3 linked regions of the Sus scrofa genome follow. The protein of the gene in region 3 binds, or shares a complex with, the protein of the main gene of each other region. Links are inferred from orthologs where the notes say so. Each region holds a gene or a part of one and is shown on either strand. Other genes may lie near its edges. The genes, in order: TNNI3, TNNI2 and TNNC1.

The links.
Region 1: the proteins of TNNC1 (region 3) and TNNI3 are in contact, whole or in part, in a crystal structure (PDB 4Y99), measured with the Homo sapiens proteins. The link is inferred for Sus scrofa from reciprocal best matches to the Homo sapiens genes TNNC1 and TNNI3. Residues at the interface, in NP_003271.1 of Homo sapiens: Asp3, Ile4, Lys6, Ala7, Glu10, Gln11, Thr13, Glu15, Gln16, Glu19, Phe20, Ala22, Ala23, Ile26, Phe27, Val44, Met45, Leu48, Gln50, Glu59, Met60, Glu63, Glu66, Asp67, Gly68, Asp73, Asp75, Glu76, Phe77, Met81; in NP_000354.4 of Homo sapiens: Glu32, Pro33, His34, Ala35, Lys36, Lys37, Lys38, Ser39, Lys40, Ile41, Ser42, Ala43, Ser44, Arg45, Lys46, Leu47, Gln48, Leu49, Lys50, Thr51, Leu52, Leu53, Leu54, Ile56, Ala57, Lys58, Glu60, Leu61, Glu64, Arg136.
Region 2: the proteins of TNNC1 (region 3) and TNNI2 are in contact, whole or in part, in an NMR structure (PDB 2MKP), measured with the Homo sapiens proteins. The link is inferred for Sus scrofa from reciprocal best matches to the Homo sapiens genes TNNC1 and TNNI2. Residues at the interface, in NP_003271.1 of Homo sapiens: Asn18, Glu19, Phe20, Ala22, Ala23, Ile26, Val44, Met45, Met47, Leu48, Gln50, Pro52, Glu56, Phe77, Met80, Met81, Cys84, Met85, Lys86, Asp87; in NP_001139301.1 of Homo sapiens: Arg116, Met117, Ser118, Ala119, Asp120, Ala121, Met122, Leu123, Ala125, Leu126, Leu127, Lys130, His131, Lys132.

The regions. Positions count from the first base shown.
Region 1 is NC_010448.4:59,373,950-59,380,679, forward strand, and holds the start of TNNI3 (troponin I, cardiac muscle), read right to left. Parts: upstream 3,535-6,730; 5' UTR 3,458-3,534; intron 3,344-3,457; 5' UTR 3,255-3,343; intron 2,975-3,254; 5' UTR 2,844-2,974; intron 2,537-2,843; 5' UTR 2,443-2,536; intron 667-2,442; 5' UTR 10-666; intron 1-9. UniProt on the Homo sapiens protein: Troponin I is the inhibitory subunit of troponin, the thin filament regulatory complex which confers calcium-sensitivity to striated muscle actomyosin ATPase activity.
Region 2 is NC_010444.4:1,249,070-1,255,785, forward strand, and holds TNNI2 (troponin I, fast skeletal muscle), read left to right. Parts: upstream 1-2,496; 5' UTR 2,497-2,519; intron 2,520-3,116; 5' UTR 3,117-3,138; coding exon 3,139-3,146; intron 3,147-3,343; coding exon 3,344-3,350; intron 3,351-3,805; coding exon 3,806-3,847; intron 3,848-3,926; coding exon 3,927-4,055; intron 4,056-4,140; coding exon 4,141-4,230; intron 4,231-4,316; coding exon 4,317-4,493; intron 4,494-4,634; coding exon 4,635-4,730; 3' UTR 4,731-4,814; downstream 4,815-6,716. UniProt on the Homo sapiens protein: Troponin I is the inhibitory subunit of troponin, the thin filament regulatory complex which confers calcium-sensitivity to striated muscle actomyosin ATPase activity.
Region 3 is NC_010455.5:34,590,159-34,596,765, forward strand, and holds TNNC1 (troponin C, slow skeletal and cardiac muscles), read right to left. Parts: upstream 4,163-6,607; 5' UTR 4,154-4,162; coding exon 4,130-4,153; intron 2,682-4,129; coding exon 2,651-2,681; intron 2,434-2,650; coding exon 2,287-2,433; intron 2,007-2,286; coding exon 1,892-2,006; intron 1,667-1,891; coding exon 1,530-1,666; intron 1,447-1,529; coding exon 1,415-1,446; 3' UTR 1,413-1,414; downstream 1-1,412. Other genes in the region: NISCH (nischarin), read left to right, coding at 5,771-5,866. UniProt on the Homo sapiens protein: Troponin is the central regulatory protein of striated muscle contraction. Tn consists of three components: Tn-I which is the inhibitor of actomyosin ATPase, Tn-T which contains the binding site for tropomyosin and Tn-C.

The sequences.
Region 1 (6,730 bases), on a different chromosome or scaffold from region 3:
AGCCCTCACCCCGCGATCGTGCAGCTTCATGTGCAGGTCCCAGTCGCTGACACCGCGCCGGGCGTCGTACCGGGAGCCCAGGTAGTGGCGCAGCCTCGAGTCCCACAGGCGGCTCATGGGGAAGGCCTCAGGCCCCTTCTCCCCGCCCGCCCAGAAACGGAACACGGCCTCCAGGGCGTCGCGCTCGCGGAACTGCACGGCCAGGCACGCGTGGAGGGAGAACCAGGGAGAGGCGGCTGCAGGAAGAGTGGCTTCTCCTGCTGGACCCTCCCTTCCCTCCCAGAGCGTGGGAACGATTCTCCCTTTTCTCAGATGAAGAAACTGAGGCGCAGAGAGCGGAAGCTGCCCCCTGGTCCATGTCTCACAGTGGGAGCCAGGAAGCCGGGGTTCGGACTCCCGCGCCCTCAGCCTACTCCATCAGCCCAAACCCATTTGGATCGTCCATCTCCATTCTTCCCGTTGCCACCCGGATCCCCGGCGGTGATAGTCGGAGGCTGGGCGGAGGCACCTTGAGCGCGCCCAGGCTGAGCCAGGGTAGCTGCTCTTGCAGGCGATCGGGTTCCAGGACCAGGTGGGCCAGGCGGTCGGCCTGGGCGCGCACGAAGGCGGCCACCGGGGGGCGCAGCAGCGCGTTCCCCCACACCTCCAGGAAGGTCTCGCTCCTCTCTGCGGGGAGGGGGGAGAAACTAGTGGGAGGAATAGAGGGAACCTGGAAATGAGACCCCTGTGGATGATGCACATCCATTTTACAGTGATCTTAGGTTTTCGTAGTCAGGTAGTGAGCATAAGGGAGCCAGGCAAACTCCCCACCCATCCCAAGGGCCAGAAGAAGAAGAAATAACTTAGACCTATTCTTCCCACCTATTCCCTCCCCCCAGGTAACCCCAATTCTGATTTTCATATTTGTTTCCCTTGCCTTAAAAAAGAAAAAGTTATATACAGATGGAGATGGAGATGAAGATTTATGTGTATTAAGTGTTAGACTGTTCATTTTTTTCATTTTAGTTAAGAAACTTATGAGAGAACTATATACCTGTAGTTAGATCAGATCCAGATTAGATTAGTCCCAGTTGTTTAAGGACTTTTTAATTTACTTATTTGTTGTTTTTTCATCTTTTTGCCATTTCTAGGGCCACACATGGAGGTTCCCAGGCTAGGGGTCTTATCGGAGCTGTAGCCACCGGCCTACGCCAGAGCCACAGCAACGCGGGATGCGAGCCGCATCTGCGACCTACACCACAACTCACGGCAACACCGGATCCTTAACCCACTGAGCAAGGCCAGGGATCGAACCTGCCACCTCATGGTTCCTAGTCGGATTTGTTAACCACTGAGCCACGATGGGAACTCCTTAAGGACCTTTTCATAAGGTGTATTATGAAATCTGTGCAATGTCTTCCGAATGTTCTGGGCTATTAATGACACCTACCATCCATAATCATGAAAACAACAGTACTCACTAAAATGTATCGAGTCAGTATCATAAGCCAGGACATGTGCTTTTTTTTTCCCCATTGTATACTCATAAGAATTCTATGGGGGAAGATCTTTCATGACCTCCATTTTATAAATGTAGAAACTGAAGCCAAGAAAAGACCAGATACTAGCCCAAGGTCACAGAACAAGCAGAGTCAGAATTTGAACACGGCTTGTCTGAATCCTAGAGGTTTTGCTCTAGGCACTAAGCTGAAGTTGTTGTTACTGAGAGACAATCAATTTCCCAAATCCTCCTTCTCCCCCTTCTCCTTATAAGTTCACTTTCCAAGTCTGCCTCCTTCAGGCAGGCTGCCTGGGTTTCACCCTCAGCTCAGCCAACCCCCGCCCCCTACTTCTGGAGGCCTCACCACCTCTCAGAAAGTCCCTTGATCTCTTTTGGGCTTCTCCCTTCGTGGAAGGCTCTGCATGCTTACACTGTGTCATGCATAGTTCTGAAAGTTGTATGTGGGTTTTCTTCTAGAATTCTCTAGATGATTCTAGAAAGTATTTTTAGGCCTACTTCACAAGTGGGAAAGACTGAGGCTCTAAGGCCAACAAACAAGTGAGCAAGTGATGAAATAGGGATCAATACTCATTCAAAATGAGTACCCTTGATTTTTTGTTTGTTTTATTTTTGTCTTTTTGCTTTTTCTAGGGCTGCTCCCGCAGCATATGGAGGTTCCCAGGCGAGGGGTCTAATTGGAGCTGTAGTCACCCGCCTATGCCAGAGCCACAGCAAAGCGGGATCCAAGCTGCATCTGCAACCTACACCACAGCTCACAGCAATGCCAGATCCTTAATGCACTGAGCAAGGCCAGGGATGGAAACCACAACTTCATGGTTCCTAGTTGGATTCATTAACCACTGAGCCACGACAGGAACTCCTGAGTATCCTTGAAATGCCAGAATTCCTACAGGGAAGGGGAAGAGGCTGGGGGCCAGACTGCCTGGGTCTTTGCCACTGACCTTGCAGCCCCATCTTCTCTGGATCCTCCAAGGCTATACTGAAGATCAGCATGTGTCGGGCTACAGCTTCTAGATTATTTTCCAGAACATAAAACTGGAAGTATGGAGAGGGAAGGATGATTCTGAGATGTGTCCTTGGCTCCCAGGAGACTCAGGAGTGAGCAAACTTAGAACCAAGGAGACCTGTACATCAGCCCCCCTTCTTCAACACGAGCGTGCGCACTCAGAACTCTCCTCCCCATCACTACTCAGGCTCTTCCTCCCACTCGGACCCAGGAGTCCCCAGACCCAGCCCACTCTTTCCCCAGGACTCAGGAGTCTGGGTTCCCAGCTTCAGGGACTCAGGAATCTGGGTTCTCATATTCATCCTCCTCCTTTCACGACCCCTAATCCCAGCTCACGTGGAATCTCCTTCGAGGCCAGAGCGCAGCTCGGGCCAAAGTCCGCAGCAGATGCCGCCCATCCACGGAGCCCACCAGCAGGACATTTAGCTCGGGTATCCCGTGCTCTGGATCGTCTGGGTCCACAGGACCTGACAAAAAGACAGAGGGTTGGGGTCGGTGGCCTGAAGAGCGCCCATGGCAGCCTCGCTCAGCACGATGGACTACACCTCCCAGGAGAACTTGCACTCCTGGCCTAGGTTTCAAAGGGAGCTGTGCCTCTAAGCATTCTGGGACTGGTAGTCTGCAGCGGCATCAAGGCTGTCCGCTCGGGGGCGCCCCCACCCTTGGAGCCTCAAAGAAGGTTAGCGCGCTGTCTGCCAGCTCTGAAGGCAGCGCTGTGTTGGATTTGTGATCCTGCGTGGGACTCACTCTCAGCCTGCAGGTCCACCGCCGGGGACAGGCCCCACCAGGACACGGAGCCGAAGCCTGAGCCCGAGCCTGCCGGTGTGGTCATCGCCCTGCACGACAGACAACCTGGGAATCCCCAAACATCGTGTCTGCGGCCTCCACCCATTCGCCTTTCACGTCCCCTGATTTCTCGCCTCTTTCCTCCATGGGACGGCCCCCCTCACCTTTATCCTTCCAAATAACTGGACACACCCGCTCTCTGCCCACTCCGAGATGCAGTCCGACGCTCTCTCCGCAACTGCTGCCCAGAGTCTCCGCCCTTTTCAATCAGTAAGCCAATGGGAGTGTGCGGGCTGGCACCACTGTGATCCACTGACCAATGAGAGCGAGCGAGACCTGTCCTCTATGAACTTTTGACCAATGCGAGCGTTGAGGGACGACGACTCTGGCTTGTGGGAGTGGTGGGCAAGCGGACGCGGTTGTCATGACGACGGCGTGGGCGAAGGGGCGGGGCCGGAAGACACGGGGCGGAGCCTGGGGCGGTCCAAATTTCTGGAACGGGGAGGAAGAACGGAACAGAATCTTGATAAACCCAAATTAAAGTGAGATGGCCTACACCTTAAATTATAGACCTCTGGAGTTCCCGTCGTGGCTCAGTGGTTAATGAATCCGACTAGGAACCATGAGGATGCGGGTTCAGTCCCTGGCCTTGCTCAGTAGGTTAAGGATCCCGCGTGGCCGTGAGCTGTGGTGTAGGTCGCAGATGCGGCTTGGATCCCGCGTTGCTGTGGCTCTGGCGTAGGCCAGCGGCTGCAGCTCTGATTCGATCCCTAGCCTGGGAACCTCCATATGCCGCATGAACGGCCGTAGAAAAGGCAAAAAGACAAAAAAAAAAAGTATATATATATATTATATATATATAATACATATATATATATAATATATATATTATATATATAGACATCTGTGTCATTTTCCCTCACACCTGGGCTCTACCACATAGGGCTTCTCACCACATGGGAAAGTTCTAGGGCCAGCTACCACTGGCACCTGATTGTTAAATTTTCAAGAATTTTGTGACCCGGTTGTTACACAAAATCATTACTAAAAATTAAACGTTTTACTAAACTTTATTAAAAATCAAATTCCGGGAGTTCCCATCGTGGTGCAGCGGAAACGAATCCGACTAGGAACCATGAAGTTGCGGGTTTGATTCCTGGCCTTGCTCAGTGAGTTAAGGATCCGGCATTGCCGTAAGCTGTGGTGTAGGCCAGCAGCTATAGCTCCGATTAGACTCCTAGCATGGGAACCTCCATATGCCATGAGTGCAGCTCTAAAAAGCAAAAAAAAAAAAAAAAAAAAAAAAATCAAATTCCAATTAAACACATTACATTAAAATAAATGTAATCAGGAGTCCCCTAGTGGCCCAACAGGTTAAGGATCCAACGTTGTCACTGATGTGGCATGGGTCACTGTTGTGACATGGGCTCAATACCTGGCCTGGTAACTTCCAGATGCCGGCAAGTGCGGCCAAAAAAAGCAAATAAATAAGGGAGTTCTCCTCCTGATGCAGTGGTTAATGAGGCCAACTAGGAACCATGAAGTTGCTGGTTCAATCCCTGGCCTCGATCAGTGGGTTAAGATCCGGCATTGCCATGAGCTGCGGTGTAGGTCGCAGACTCGGTTCAGATCTGGCGGGGCTGTGGCTGTGGCTGTGGCGTAGGCTTGGCTCTGATTAGACCCCTAGCCTGGGAACCTGCATATGCTGCAGGTGCGGCCCTAGAAAAGGCTAAATAAATAAATAAATACGGTAAAGAAAAGGTAATCATACTCAAAACTCATCAGTTTCTATTTTATTATATTTTACTATTATTAGCGGTCTCAAGGTTATTTCCAACTATTGTATCTGTAGGAAGGAAATGCTATTTTAATGCAATGTTGTTTTTGTTTGTTTAGGGCCGCACCTGCAGCATATGGAAGTTCCCAGGCTAGGGTTCAAATTGGAGCTGTAGTTGCTGGCCTCCACCACAGTCACAGCAACACCAGACAGAGCCTCTGGGCAGGTCCAGGTCCTTAACCTACTGAGTGAGGCCCAGGATCGAATCCATGCCCTCATGGCTACTAGTGGGGTTCATAACGCACTGAGCCACAAAGGGAATTCTTGTACTTCATTGCTTTTTTACGACTGAATAATATTCTGTTATTTCCCCCTCATTTTTGCAAGTCTCATGCCTTCTTGCCATTCAAATCACAGCCCCTAAACACTACTTTTTCTTTTTTCTTTTTTTTTTTTGGCTTTTTAGGTCCGCAGGGCATGTGGAGGTTTCCAGACTGGGGTCAAATTGGAGCTGTAGCCACCAGCCTAGGCCACAGCCACAGCAACGCCAGATCTCAGCTACATCTGCAACCTACACCACAGCTCACGGCAATGCCAGATCCTTAACCCACTGAGCGAGGCCAGGGATCGAACCTGCGTCCTCTAGGATGCTAGTCAGATTCATTTCCACTGAGCCGTGACGGGAACTCCCCAAACACTACCTCTTCAGGGAAGCTGTCCCTGACTACCCTTTTAAAATGGTCTGGGGAGTTGCTGTGTGCTCTAGCTCTTAGGACTTGGCACTTCCATCGCTGTGGCCCAGGTTCCTGGTGTGGCCACTGAGATCCCACAGCAGCCATTGCACACCACAGCCACAGCCCAAATAAATAAAAATTTTAAAACAGGATCTCACCTCAGCCCTTACTGGTTTCCTTCCAGTCTGGTCACCATTTTTAATGGTTTTGCACTTCTAATTTGTCTGCTGATTTGTTGAGACATGGAACTGGGGATCCCAATGTCATTATCTAACTCAGAACAGATTCAACCCCAGGATTTAGAGAAGGACTTCCAGCTGTAGCCCTGAGCAGGTCACGTTAATTCACCGAAGCACAGTTTCCTCATTTGTCAATTGGGAACAATCATCACATATATTTCATGAAGTTTTTGTGAGAATTATTAACAGAAGCGGTAGCAGTAATAATGCTATTAATATGACATAGCTCTGTCTTTATAAATATGCCTCCCTCACTCACACATGAGAAATCACTGCATTCCTTTGGAGACATTTTTTATTTTCTTTTTAGGGCCACACTCTCAGCATATGGAAGTTCCCAGGATAGGGGTCAAAGTGGAGCTGCAGCCACAGCCACAGCCACAGCAATGGAGGGATCTGAGCTATGGTTGTGACCTACACTACAGCTCACAGAAACGCTGGATCCTTAACCCACTGATCGAGGCCAGGGATTGAACCCACAGCCTCATGGATACGAGTCGGATTCATTTCTGCTGTGCCGCAACAGGCACTCCTGGAGAAAATTTTTAAATCTCATGGACCTCACAACCTAAGTGACTGAGCTGACTTCTCTTTTTCCCATTGGCTCCCAGGAAGCTCCAGGTTAAGTTTGTACTCTGCCCCTTTCCTTAGCAAGTGGGGTACCTGCTTATTGGTTCATTTTCCACT
Region 2 (6,716 bases), on a different chromosome or scaffold from region 3:
GCTGGGCACACGCACGAGACAAAGGTGCACCGTGGCACACGCTGCCCTGTGTTCGACGAGATCTGCTCCTTCCACGTGAGTCTGGGCCGGGCGGCAGGCTGAGGGGGTGGCGGGCGGAGGGGCTCTGGGCCTCACGCTCTCCTGTAGGTGCCGCCGGCAGAGCTGCCGCGGACCAGCCTTCAGGTGCAGGTGCTGCACTCCCGGGGCGTCTCCCCGCCCGAGCCGCTGGGCGCGCTCAGCCTGCCGCTGGGCACCGTGGACCTGCAGCACGTCCTGGAGCTCTGGCACCCGCTGGGCCCACCCAGCGCCCCTGAGGTGAGATCGGATTGATCGCGGGCCTCAGCTGTGCCCCACCCGCTGTGCTGGGGAAGCTGAGGCCCCCTCCCTCCCGCAGCCCGAGCAGACGGGTGAACTGTGCGTCTCACTCCGGTACGTGCCCGGCTCCGGCCGGCTGACCGTGGTGGTGCTGGAGGCCCGAGGCCTGAGCCCGGGGCTGGCAGGTGAGAGCCAGGCCGGCCCCTCCACGGGGCCAGAGGGGAGCCTGGGCTCGGGCCTCAGACCCAGACCGCCCTCTGGTCTCCCTCGCTTTGCCCAGAGCCCTTCGTGAAGGTCCAGCTTGTGCTGAATCAGAGGAAGTGGAAGAAGAGGAAGACGTCGACCAGGAAAGGGACGGCCGCCCCTTACTTCAACAAGGCCTTTACCTTCCTCGTGCCCTTCAGCCAGATCCAGGTGGGCTGCCTGGAGGAGGGGGACAGTGGGCCCGGGCTCAGGGCCAACCTGACTTCTGTCCTTCTCCCCCCACCGCACCCTGCCTGCCTCTACCCAGAGCGTGGATCTGGTGCTGGCCGTCTGGGCCCGGGGCCCTCAGTTCCGGGCCGAGCCCGTGGGCAAGGTTCTGCTGGGCGCCCGGGCCTCTGGTCAGCCCTTACAGCACTGGGCGGACATGCTGGCCCACGCCCGGCGACCCATTGCCCAGTGGCACCGCCTGCGTCCGGCCAGGGAGGTGGACCGGGTCTTGGCCTTGCAGCCCCGCCTGCGCCTGCCCCTGCCAGGCTCCTGAAAGCAGTGTCCTCGAGGGTGCAGGCCGCCCCGGGCGCCACACAATAAACGCCTTCTCCCGCCTCTGCTGTGTGTCCTTCCTGAGCCCGAGGACACAGTAGGGTCAGGGGCTCCACCAACACGTCCCGGACCCCTCCAAGGACAAGGGGGGGGGTCTCCCCTCCAGACTCAGCCAGGCCCTGCGGCCTCTGACCAGTGCCTGACCCCGAGTGAGGGCGAAGGGGCCCCTTCGGGCCCAGTGGGGACGGCGCTGGGAGATGGGGAGCTCTCCCTGGCTGCGGGGGCTGGGGGCCCATGGGGTGGCCCCACGCGGACATGTTGGGCAACGGGGAGACATCTGGGGGCGGTGACAGTGTTGGAGGGGACCTCAGCCCCAAGGACCACCCCAGCCCCCTGCCAGGCCCCGAAAGCCTCGGGCTGAGGCCTCCCCTGCTCGAGCAGCAGGGGGCAGTAGATGCCTTCCGAAGCCGCCCCGGGCCTTTGGGGGCTCAGCCTGGCCCGGAAAGCGGCGCTAATCCCCGCACATCTGGCCGGCTCCTGCTCTCCCTGACCCTCCCCACGCTGAGAGGCCAGCGGGGCTGGGGCCGTGCGCCCCCGGCTCCGAGGGTGCCAGGCCCTGGTGGGGTCTCCATGCCTCCGCTGGGTGGGGGCCCGGGCCGGGGGCACAGGCCCGGGCCCCAGGCCCCTCGGGTCAGGGAGAGGTTCCCAGGTGGGTGGTGCCGAAGTCCGAAATCTGGGGGTTGAAAGACACATTCCAGGCCGTGCAGGGAACTGGCCTGCAGGCAGGGCGTTCCAGGCAAGGCAGCACGTCCCTCCGTCCCGGGGCCCCCAGCCTGCTCCCCAGCAAGAAGCAGGGACCACGCCCGCGGAGGGCGGCCCCCACCGCAGAGACCCTGGCTGCTGCCACAGGCACCAGAAGCTGCGTTTGGGGGTCCCGACTTGTCCCAGTCCAGCTTGGAGCTGGCCAAGCTAAAGAGGCCAGTGAGCACGGAGAGGGGCTGTTGTCCCCAGGGGGGCCCTGGGCCCTGGGGAAGCTGACCACGGCGGGGACCTGAGGCAGGGCAGGTGGGGCTGGGCTGCAGTGACCCCTCGGCTGACATGAGCTGCGCACTGTGGCCGGCGAGGCTGGCACACTGTCCTCAGGCCTCTCACAAGAACAAGGGCAGCATCTCGAAGTCGTCACTGAGCCCTAAATAGAGCCACCCAACCTCGGCCCCCCCACCTCCCGTCCCCAAGACTCCTTGGCCTGGACGGCAGCACGCGGACGCAGCTGGGCCGGGCAGGCAGCCTGGGCAGGTGGGCAGGTCCCTGTGCCCCCATTGGTCTGAAGAGGGCTCCATGCCCTTTCTGAGCGGGGGCCCAGCCTGGGGGAGGCCATTTATATCCCTCCCCTGGGCCCACCAGCCCAGCTTGCCGCTGCCGGCCTAACCTCAGCCCCAGTGCTGCTGCCCAGACGTGAGGTGAGGTGGCCCTGCCAGCCGACTCCAGGGACAGGCGCTGCTCAAGCAAGCTCACAGAAGGGCTTCCCAGGGCTGGGGGGCCAGAGGCGGGGGCTGCAGCCTCTCGGGGGGCTTCCACAGAGAGGGAGCGGGGGCGGAGGGGGGGCAAGAGAGAGAAGCATTGGAGGTGGGCCAGGGTGGCCAGGGGTCCTGGGCAGCACCCCGACGGCCAGGCCTCACCTCTGGGACATGGGAGGGGATCTTACGGGTCAAGGAACCCCAGGCCCAACTGGGGAGCCGTTTCTTGTGTGCACTGGGGCCAGAAGCTGAAGGAGCAGAGCTAAAAATAACTGGTGGCTTTGGCGGCCACCTGCGCTGGCCGGACCCACCCTCCCTTGGGGACAGCTGCAGCCCCCCCCAGGCCCGCCTGGGACATATTGGGAACACTTTCTCCTCTTACTCCCCCCCCCGCCGGGATTCCAAGACACAGCCCTCCAAGGAGGTGGGGGGCGGGGCTGCAGGGGGCGGGGTTCGTGTGAGGGCAGAACCCTCTGGACAGCTGGGGTCCAGGGAAGGCGGGGCAAGGGCCCTAACAGCCCTGACCTTTCTCTCCCACAGGCTCTAAGTCCAGGAGCTCAAGATGGGGGAGTAAGTGCAGCCCCCCAGCCCGGTGCCCTCGCCCCGCTCCGGCCCACACCCCTCCCCCGCCCCGCCCTCGCTGGGCAAGGGGCTCTGCATCCCCACCCTGGCCACTGCCCGCCCGCCCACCCCGTCCGTCACACAGCCCCACGGCATGGCCCTAACTTCTCTTCTCTCTCCTCCCCCCACCTGCCCTCCTGGGACAGTGAGGAGGTGAGTACCTGCCCTGGGGTGGGACTTCGAAGGGATGGCACACCCCCCACACATCAGGACAGGTTGGAGCTTCAAGGCAGCCCTCCCTTCCCCGTGAAAGGGCAACCCCCCCCCAGAGGAAGTGTCTGCTCCATGTGGTGGCGCGGCACAGGGGAAGTGCCGCCTGGCCCCGTCACCGGGAAGTGGCTTCTTCTTTCTGATGGCTGCATCCCCTCCCCCACCTCCTGGGCCCTGCCAGCACGTCCCCCCCCACCTGCCTCTGAGGCACAGCCACACCTACTCCACCTAACCTGAAGGGACATCCGGGCAGAGGGTCACTGTGCTGCACCATGTCCGGGCCCCAGCCTCCCCACCAGGCCCAGTGGACCCCGGACTGGGCGGCACGAGCCAGACAGGATGCAGGATGCTGGCAGCCCGGCCGGCCCTGACTCTGTCTCCTCTCCCCTGCCCTGCAGAAGCGCCACAGGGCCATCACGGCCCGCAGACAGCACCTGAAGGTGGGTGCGGGCCTGGGTGGGGGGCGCCCAGGGGGCCGAGGGCCTGCTGCCGCCCCTCACCAGCTGCCTCCCCGCCCAGAGCGTCATGCTCCAGATCGCGGCCACGGAGCTGGAGAAGGAGGTGGGCCGCCGGGAGTCGGAGAAGCAGAACTACCTGTCTGAGCACTGCCCCCCGCTGCACCTGCCCGGCTCCATGTCGGAGGTCCAGGTACCCAGGGAGGGCGGGCGGGGTCAGGGCGGAGGGAGGCCCAAGGGTGGGGCCGGCCCCCCGCCCACCCACGCCCCCCCCCCAGGAGCTCTGCAAACAGCTGCACGCCAAGATCGACGCGGCCGAGGAGGAGAAGTACGACATGGAGATCAAGGTCCAGAAAAGCACCAAGGAGGTGAGAGGTCGGGCGGGGGCGGGGGCGGGACGCGCCCCCCACGGGCCTGGCTTCCGAGCCTCCCCGCCCCTCGCCCACGTCCGCAGCTGGAGGACATGAACCAGAAGCTGTTCGACCTGAGAGGCAAGTTCAAGAGGCCCCCGCTGAGAAGGGTGCGGATGTCGGCCGATGCCATGCTCAAGGCGCTGCTGGGCTCCAAGCACAAAGTGTGCATGGACCTGCGGGCCAACCTGAAGCAGGTCAAGAAGGAGGACACGGAGAAGGTAGGCCAGGCTCGGGACCCGTCGGCAGGGACCCTCGCCCGGGGGCGGCAGTGGCAGGCGGTGGGGGGGGCGGGGGTGGGCTCGGCCCCCCGGAAGGGTCTAGGGAGCGGGCGCTGAGCCCTGTGCCCGCGCGCGCGGCAGGAGCGGGACCTGCGCGACGTGGGCGACTGGAGGAAGAACATCGAGGAGAAGTCGGGCATGGAGGGCCGCAAGAAGATGTTCGAGACGGAGTCCTAGGCCCCCGGGGGCCCCGCCGCCCGCGCTCCCGGCAGCCGCGCGCCCCCTGGAGGCCGCTCGGCCTCGTGGTCAATAAAGGCTTCCCATCCCCAGGACTGCTGCGTCTGGCCTGGTCCTCTCTGCCCGCGGGCCGTCTGCGGGGGGCCTCTGAGCCCTGAGTCGGCGCTGAGAAGCCGGGGTGGGCTTCGGGGCATTTCGGCTGGGCCCGAGGGCCGCGTCCAGGCCAGGGAACCCTCCTCCCCCACTCGCCCTCCCCGGGGGGGGGGGGCCTGCTTGGCGACATCGGGCAGACCCCACAGGCCAGACACAGGTGGCCCAGGTCCTGTCCGAGATGCTTCTCCAGACGACCATTTGTCCACTGTCGCTGTCATCGCAAAGGTCCCGGAGCCTGCCCTTGTGGCATAAGTCAAGGCAGGAGCCTATGTGGGCAGCCCCCCACCCCAGCCTTCCTCCCAGGCTGCTCCTCCCCAGACCCCAGCCTCCCGCAGGGCACATGGGGACCGTCCTGGGTCAGATGGCCCTCCCAGCAGCTGGAGCCCCCGACGCAGGCGTACGCTGGGCTGGGGCCTGCGCTCCTGCCAGAGACACCACAGGCCAACCGGCCCCAGGCTGGGCTCAGTGGGGGCGGCGGCGGGGGGGGCTCTTCTTTCTGCCCAGCCCTCGCCGACCTCACACACCAAGGGACGATGTGCCCGACAGGCCCAGACGTGACTGTCATGGCAAGGCCGCCGCCAGCCTCCTCCGTGAGGGATGATGCTCAGGTCCGGCGCTCAGGTCTTTGGTGGGGAGCCGGGATGCTGGGCGTGGCCGTAACGGAGTGGCCATCCAGCCTACCCTTGCCCTGTGGAGGTCCCATCGATTGGCGTGCCAGGGCTGGAGATGCGGCGGGCAGCTGCCTTCAGCCTTGAGCCTCAAGGGACAGGCGTCAGCCTGCCCGGCTGGCCTTCACAAGTACGGCTCCCCACCCCCGCTCCAGCCCAGGCACCGGGCTCAGGCCACCCTGCAGCTCGGGGCCCCCAGCCTGGTGCCTGGGCTGCCCTTCCCACTCCCGTAGGCGGGTGTAGGGCCCGGGTCATCCCTGTGGAGCTCCGAGCAGGCCGGGCGGGCTGTGGATTCAAGGGGTGGGTTTTGGCGCCCACAGTGCAGAGAGAAGGAAGCGGTACCCTCCTTGCACCTGGCAAAAGGGATGGGCAGCTGGGCTGGGGCCGTGCCCACCAGGAGAGGGGCCGTGAATCCATCCTGGGGGCCGGCTGTAGGGCTGGGCTCCCACAGCAGGACGCAACTGTGGGCAGGGAAACGCAAGGAAATGTCCAGCACAAACTCCCGACGGTGACCCCCCGGGTGCGGCGGCCAAGCAGGGGCAGAGGGGGCGGGAGCACCAAAGGGGAGGCAGGTTGGGGATGTTGTAATTCTTGGGGGGGGACAATGGGTTTACGGGTGCCCTTGTCACATTTTCCAGTGAATGAATGAAGAAAGAGAACCCTGCAAACCAACCAGGCCAGCACACATCCAAACAGCGCCACACCCCTCTGCCACTGTCCTGGTGGGCCACGCCGCTGCACTCAGCGGCAGGGAGGGCCGAACGGGGCAATCCCGGGCAACAAGCGTGTAGTGCAGCATCCAACGCCTGCATGCTGAGGGTGCTGCGTTCTCTAGAAAGATCTCTACAGGGCGGGGAATGGGCAAGGCCGGAAGGAACAAGAGCAGCCACTGCCACCTCCTGGGAGGGCGGGCAGTGGTGACAAGATTCAGGAGGCAGAGCCCCCAGGACTTGGTGCACAGGGAGACCCCGGCTTAGGCTGAGGGGGGAGGAGGGCGTGCGGCGCTTGGGGAGGAGACCGGAGCCGGTGCGGGGCTGGCCTTGCATAAGACTTGGGAGCGGGGGAACACGGCAGTTTCTAGGCACGGCAGGCTGGGTGCAGGGGTCTGGGCTGGAGATGGGGTCTGGGGGTCATCAGAAGCAAGGCGGCGTCCCTGACAGTGGGG
Region 3 (6,607 bases):
CTATCAATTCCATAAAATTAGGGACTGGGACTGAGGATCTCAGCATTCAGCCAGTGCTGGACACAGAATATACATGTGACTAAACCCTGGAATGGTATCCTGGCAGGTGGTGGCACCCACAGTAGCCCTGCCTCCTCTTCTGAAGTGTCATCATTCCTGGGTGTATATGTAGGTCCTTGAGTTTTCCAGCTCCTGAAGCCAGGATTTAGGGGACCCCTGGTCTCTCTAGGCATCAGGCAGCTACTGCCAGCTCTGACCTCCACTGGAGGCATCTCCAGAATTCCAAGACCGTCTCTGGAATGTTGGGCCTGTCTGGGGAATGCCAAGGCTGGGGCACAGGTGCAGAGGCTGTGGAGTGACTGGGTGGAGCAGGGACAGCTGCTGACATTCTGGCTGCAGCCTAGGCACAGTGGCAGCTGTCCCTCTTGCAAGCACCACTGCTGACACCTCCACTTCCTTGCATTCCTCTACCTCCCCAAGGCCAGTTTCACTATTCTGTCCATAGTTCTGGCCTGGGTACCCCCACTAGGCTGAGAGCCACCAGGCCCTCTGCATCTATTCCCTGTCAGGGAGGAATTGTGGGCTGCTGGAGCTGATGAAGTTCATGGTAACTAGAAATCATGCCCATCTGGACCTGGTCCATCAGACAGAGTCCTCGGCTGGGGAGCCAGGTGGCTCTGCTCTTCCCAGCCTCACTGCATGACCTTGACAGGCCCGGAGCCTCTCTGGGCCCCACCTGTCAAATGGCCAAGGGGAGGCAGAGTAGAAGATATGCCCCTCGGTCCCTTAAGCCAATGCCGCCAGCAGGAAATCCAAGTGGGTGGGCAGATGGCCTGGAGCTGCAGGCCAGCTGAGCCCCCATGTGGTCTGCTTCTCCCCAACCAGAACCAAGGAAGGGCTGGGGCTGCTGTGCTGCAGTGACTTCTGTCTCCAAGTAGTGGATCCCTGCCTGCCAACTGGCTGACCAAAACTATGGCCCTGACGGGGCCTGTGAAATGCAGATTCCTGGGCCATCACAGCCTTCAGATGTGGAATTGCTGGAGGTGGGGCTGGGGCACCAGCAGTTATAGAAAAGAGACAGTGGGGCACGGAATGTTGTAGTCTCTGATCTAATCCAGCCCCTCCTGCAGAAGGCAGTGTGCAAGGGTGGTTAGGGTCTGGGACGGGGAAGGAAACTGCTGCGGCAGGAGTAGACCCTGGGGAAGAGTCATGAATGGAAGCCAGGCACCAGGCTCCAAGGAGCAGGGCTTTATTTGCATTCTCTAGGACAGGGCTGGGTAAGGTAGTCAGGGAGGGCCTGTGGTCAAGCACATACCCAAATTCATATCCTGGGGACTCTGGCTCCCTGCCCCCAACCCCGGGGCTGGGCTGGAGTTGGAAGGTGGTACAGGCAGCTCTGAACGAAGGTCGGTGTTTACTCCACCCCCTTCATGAACTCCAGGAATTCTGTGGAGAGAGGGGCGAGCATAGGTCAGAGGTGGATCGGTGCTGGCCTCTTGGCAGCAGGGATTCAGTGCACCCCCACTCACCGTCATAGTCAATGCGGCCATCATTGTTCTTGTCACCATCTTTCATGAGCTCCTCGATGTCATCCTCTGTGATGGTCTCGCCTGTCGCCTGAAGCATTATCTTCAGCTCCTCCAGGTCGATATAGCCATCAGCGTTTCTGCCAATGGGTGAGGGGAGCCTCAGAGCCCGTGATGGGGGCACAGAGAGGGGAAGAGGCAGCCCTGCTCATGACCCCGGGAGGCAGGGGAGGGCCACTGGGAGGTGGCGCATCCCATTCCCTCACTGTACAGAATGGGAGACTGAGGCCTTGAGGTCACAAGACTGTCCCCCTCTCCCCAGCTCTGCTAGGGTTAGGGTCAGAGGTCAAGGGTCATACACTCACTTGTCAAACATGCGGAAGAGGTCAGAAAGCTCCTCCTCAGACTTTCCTTTGCTGTCATCCTTCATGCACCGAACCATCATGACCAAGAACTCATCGAAGTCCACTGTGCCACTCCCTGGAGGGAGGGGTGTGGCACAGCCATTAGAGAAGGATGGTCAGAATGGCTGGCACTGCCCTTGACACTAGACCCCAGTGCTCTCACTGCATCCTCACACTAACTCTGTGAGGCCTGTGTGGTCCTTGGGCCCATTTTATACATGAGACGGCTGAGGTTCAGAGAGGCTAAAGAGCTCCTTTAAGGACACAGAGTAATAAGTAGCAATCCAGGATTCAGGGTCCCAGTGAGCTGGGAGTGCTATGGGTTTGGGGCTGGGTGGGGAGGGGAGGGGGCTCACCGTCTTCATCCACCTCGTCAATCATCTCCTGCAGTTCCTCAGGTGTGGGGTTCTGGCCCAGCATCCTCATCACTTTGCCCAGCTCCTTGGTGCTAATGCAGCCATCCTCGGCGCCCAGCACGAAGATGTCAAAGGCTGCCTTGAACTCTGTCCAGTAGGGGAAGAGGAGAAACAGAGCGGCCAGGGCTCAACAGCCAGAAACCTGGAAGGTCAGACCTCTAGTTCCACCTGTTAACCTACCCACTTCCCTCTGACATCTGAAGTCAGAGGGAGAGGGACTCTGGCCTCTGGCCTCCAGCCTGGGGTCCTCCTACTCCCCCAGCCCAGCCCTGCTGTTCCCCTACATGCGTGTTTGAGCACTCACCATTTTTCTGCTCTTCTGTCAGCTGCTCTACCTAGAGAGGAAAAGAGGTCTCAGGACTCAGGCTCAGGCCTTCGCTGCTGTGGAGGAAATCAACCCATTCCATAGCTGGGAAGACTAAAGCCAGGAAGAGGTAGGCCATTCCCAGGTCACAGAGCAGAAGAGGCCTCAGTTCTCCCTCCCTGCCCCCCAAAGCCCTGAGGTGACCTGGCTAGCCTCACTGAGACTGGGCTCAGGGCCAGGGTGACAGGTGGGAACCCCTTCCACGACCAAGGTGACCCTGAGTAACAATAGTCATCGCCCTCCCCACCCCACCCCCAACCCCCGGCTGAAACCCAAGCTGGGTGGCCCAAGAGACAGCTGTCCCTCAGGTTGGGACAATAAAACCAAAGTGGGGCTAGGCAAAGCCACCCACTGTAACCTGACCGGGGTGGCCACTGGGCTATTTTTAACGGGGGACAAAGTTAAACCTGGTGATTGTTCTGGGGACTCTGGCATGCAGGGGGTGGGGCAGCGTTATCTAGCCCCCTGGCCTGCTGGAGCCTCAGGAGCCAAAATTAGTTCCCAGCCCCGCCAGGCCTTGTATGGGCATGGGGCGGAGGACTGCCCCCCCAGCTCCATGGACTCCTGCAGGATAGGCAGAGGCACCCCCTTCCTTTCCCCGGGCTGAGGGAGGGGTTCCCCTGGGAGCAGCTGTCCATGTCAGATGTCCTTGTCTCTACGGTGGGAGGAGGTCAGTAACACACCCCCCTGCTGGCATGGAATCACATCTGAAGCCCCTCAGTGGGCCCTGCAGGGACCTGAAGTGACCACCCTCCAGCCCTTACCCCTGGCTAAGCCACTGATCCGGAGCCTGCCGAGCTGGATGCGGGCTGGGGCCTCAGCTCTCTGTTCCTTCTTCCCAGCTCCCCACCCCCATGCCCAGTCCCTCCCTGCCTGCCTTAAACTTCAGAGCCCCTTCTCCAGCTCAGGATTCCAGCTCTCCAGCCCCCTCCTCACAACCCCTATCCCACTCTCCACAGCATCTGCAGCCAGCCAAGGGGCTGGAGGGGGTGGGGGATTGTGGACATGTGAGAAGCAGAATATGAGGGGCAGCAGTGGGGGAGGTGGGGACAGGGAAACAGCAACAGAGCCTCAGAGGGAGAGCTTGGAAGGAACAAAGAGATGGAAAGAGACTAGAAACAGCAAAAGTCCAGAGACCAGTGACGTAGACTAGAGACATTTGGAGACAGGGGCAGACATGATGCCAAAGCTGCGACATCTTCCTCCACCCACCCTGACAGCTACCCACAGACCCTAAACTCCTCACCCCTTCCACACCCTGGAATGCCAGCCCCACCAGCCCCTGAGGGCCTGGGTTGAAAGTACGTGGTCCCTCTCCTGGATTCCCACCATCTCCTTCAGGTGACCTTGCCCCCATCATGAGCTGAATGAGCCCCCTGTGGGCCCGCCACCCCAGCCCTGCCCAGGCCCATCCCTCACCGCAGCCTTGTAGATGTCATCCATACTGGCGGCTCACAGGGCAGGCTGCTGAGGTTGCCAGCAGCGGCCCTCGGCTTAAATAGCCCTGCCCCGCCACATTCCCGGCCCAGCCCACCCCTGCCTGCCGTATCCTCCACTCCCTCCCCTGGACCTGGTGATCTCACACTGGCCTGAGTCCCTGTGTCCTCCGCCCAGGGCAAGGAGAAGATGAAGGGCTATAAGGACCAGGTCTCTCTCCCTCTGTCCTCCATCTCCCCAGGGACTCTCCAGAAAAGTTTTTTGAAAAAATGAAAACATAAGCCCAGGACAGACGGGAGCTGTGTACAGGGGCCTCGCCTGGGGCCCACTATACTGCAGCTCCTGTCTGCCCCGGAGGTGAGGCCCCTATACACAGCAGCTCAACCCCTATCCAATCAAGGGAATAGGTGAGGCTCCTGGAAGGACTTGCTTGAGGTCTGGCTGACGTGGCAGCTCCTAACTTAGGTTAAACCTCTCTGGAGCAGGGGCAACACTATGTAAGGAGAGGGTGGGAGAGCAGAACCCTCAGAGAAGCCTCGAATGCCAAGTTCAGAGTACGGTGCTGTGGTACTAGTGGAGAAGGAAGGCACTGACCTACCTCAGGAGAGTATGGGCTGGAGCCTTTCTGCCAAGGGTGCCAGAGAAGCCCTGCCTGAGACCTCTCATCTCCCCAGGGAGAGAAGTACTAGCTCTGGGCTTGACTGCATTCAATCAATCATTCAACAAACTCACCCTCACAGATGCCCCATCTGTGTAAGACTGTTCCCCTGAAGTTGGTTTACCACCTCTCTCTTCTAGATCTGGGTCTTCCCCTGGGTTAAGGCTCCTTCTCTGCCTGTGCTCCAGTACTGCAGTTCCTGGGTCCAGAGCCAATCTATCGCCCCCTCATTTTGAGCTCTAGTAGAACACCAGCGGGGGTCTTGTGCCAGATGGCCAGCACATAGCCATTGCTTCCACCTAACTCAACACCTTCTCGCAGAACTCACACCAGCTCCCTGCCTTGCCTGCCAGGCGTTTGCGTGGACTAGCCCACTCAGTTCTCTGGAAGCCCATGTGACATAGATCTGAGTCTTGGAGAGGTTAAGAACTGACACAATTATTCTGTCCTGCTTGCATTCTAAGCCCCAATTTTTCTTCTCCTTTAGCCTTCTTGTGCTCAACTGGGAATGAGCCCAAGAGGAAGGTGAGAGGTAACCACTGCCTCTTTTCTGGAGAAGGAAACTGAGACCAAGCGAAGCAGTGACTCGCTTCAGGTACGCCGGAAGGTGCGGGGCCATTGGTCCTTCCTTCCTGGGCACTGACTGGCAATTCCCAGAGCAGTTCCCGCCCGGAGCCTCAGTTTCTCCCCCGCTGCTAGGAGCGCGGCGGGCGGGGCCAGGCAGGTACAGATTACGCAAGTGGACCTTCCCGGGCAGCCTGCGCACGCGCGCCATTGGCAGCTGCTGTCAATTACGCGCGAGGGGCGGAGCTGGGCGGGGCGCGAGGAGGCGGCCGGTCCAAGATGGCTGCTTGGTGAGCAGCGTGGGGCGGGGGGCGGGGGCCGTCGGGGGGCGGTGGGACGCTGACCCCGCCCCCTGCTGCTGCCAGTCTGCTCCGGGCGGCGGCGGCGACCGAGCCCGGAACATGGCGGCCGCGGCGCGCAGCTTCGGGCCCGAACCGGAGGCCGAGCCGGCCAAGGAGGCTCGCGTCGTGGGCTCTGAGCTCGTGGACACGTATACGGTGTGCCGAGGGCCCCGGTGCCTGAACTAGGGGTGGCGGCTGGAACCCGATTTCAGAGTTGGGAGGTTGGGGAGGGAATCTGGGCCCAGCATCTGAAGAGGAGGAGGTGGGGGACTGCGATTTTGAAGTGGGGACCTGGAATAGCGGAATCTGGGGAAGGACCCTGGGCCCTGCAGGTAGGGAAAGAGGGTCCTGGGGTGGGGCCCAGGGAGGGGGCCTGGGAAGTGTACGCGTTTAGAAAAGCAGGATAGGGTTGGGGAAAGATTAGAGGATAAAGGGGGTCTGCGGAAGACAGGAGTCGGGTTGAGGCGGCGGTCCCTCTAGATCTTCTAGGCCTTGAGAGGCGCCGGCCTGGGAGGACGTGACAAGGGGTCTGGAAGGAGGGGAATTAGGGAAAGGGTCTCTGATGGATGAAATCTGCAGAAAGGGTCAGGGCCCTGCGGGCGGGGGCGGAGGAGACGGGGCCTTGACGTGGGAGGCCTGAGGTTGCAGTTGAGATTTGCTCTAAAAGTGAAGGGGGGCTCAGGTTCCTTGGGGCTCTGGCAGAAACAAGAATGGGGTAAGGGTGGAGCCTAGACACCGGCAATTGAAGGGGTGGCTCAGGGCTGAAAGCTTAAAACCGGGGAACCTTAGGGATCTTCATGGCTTTGGATTATGGGGGTGAGTTGGTGCTGTAAACTGCCCACGCACACTTCAGAGCTACGGGGGTGATGGAGGACAGCAAAGGGGGCAGGTTCCAGA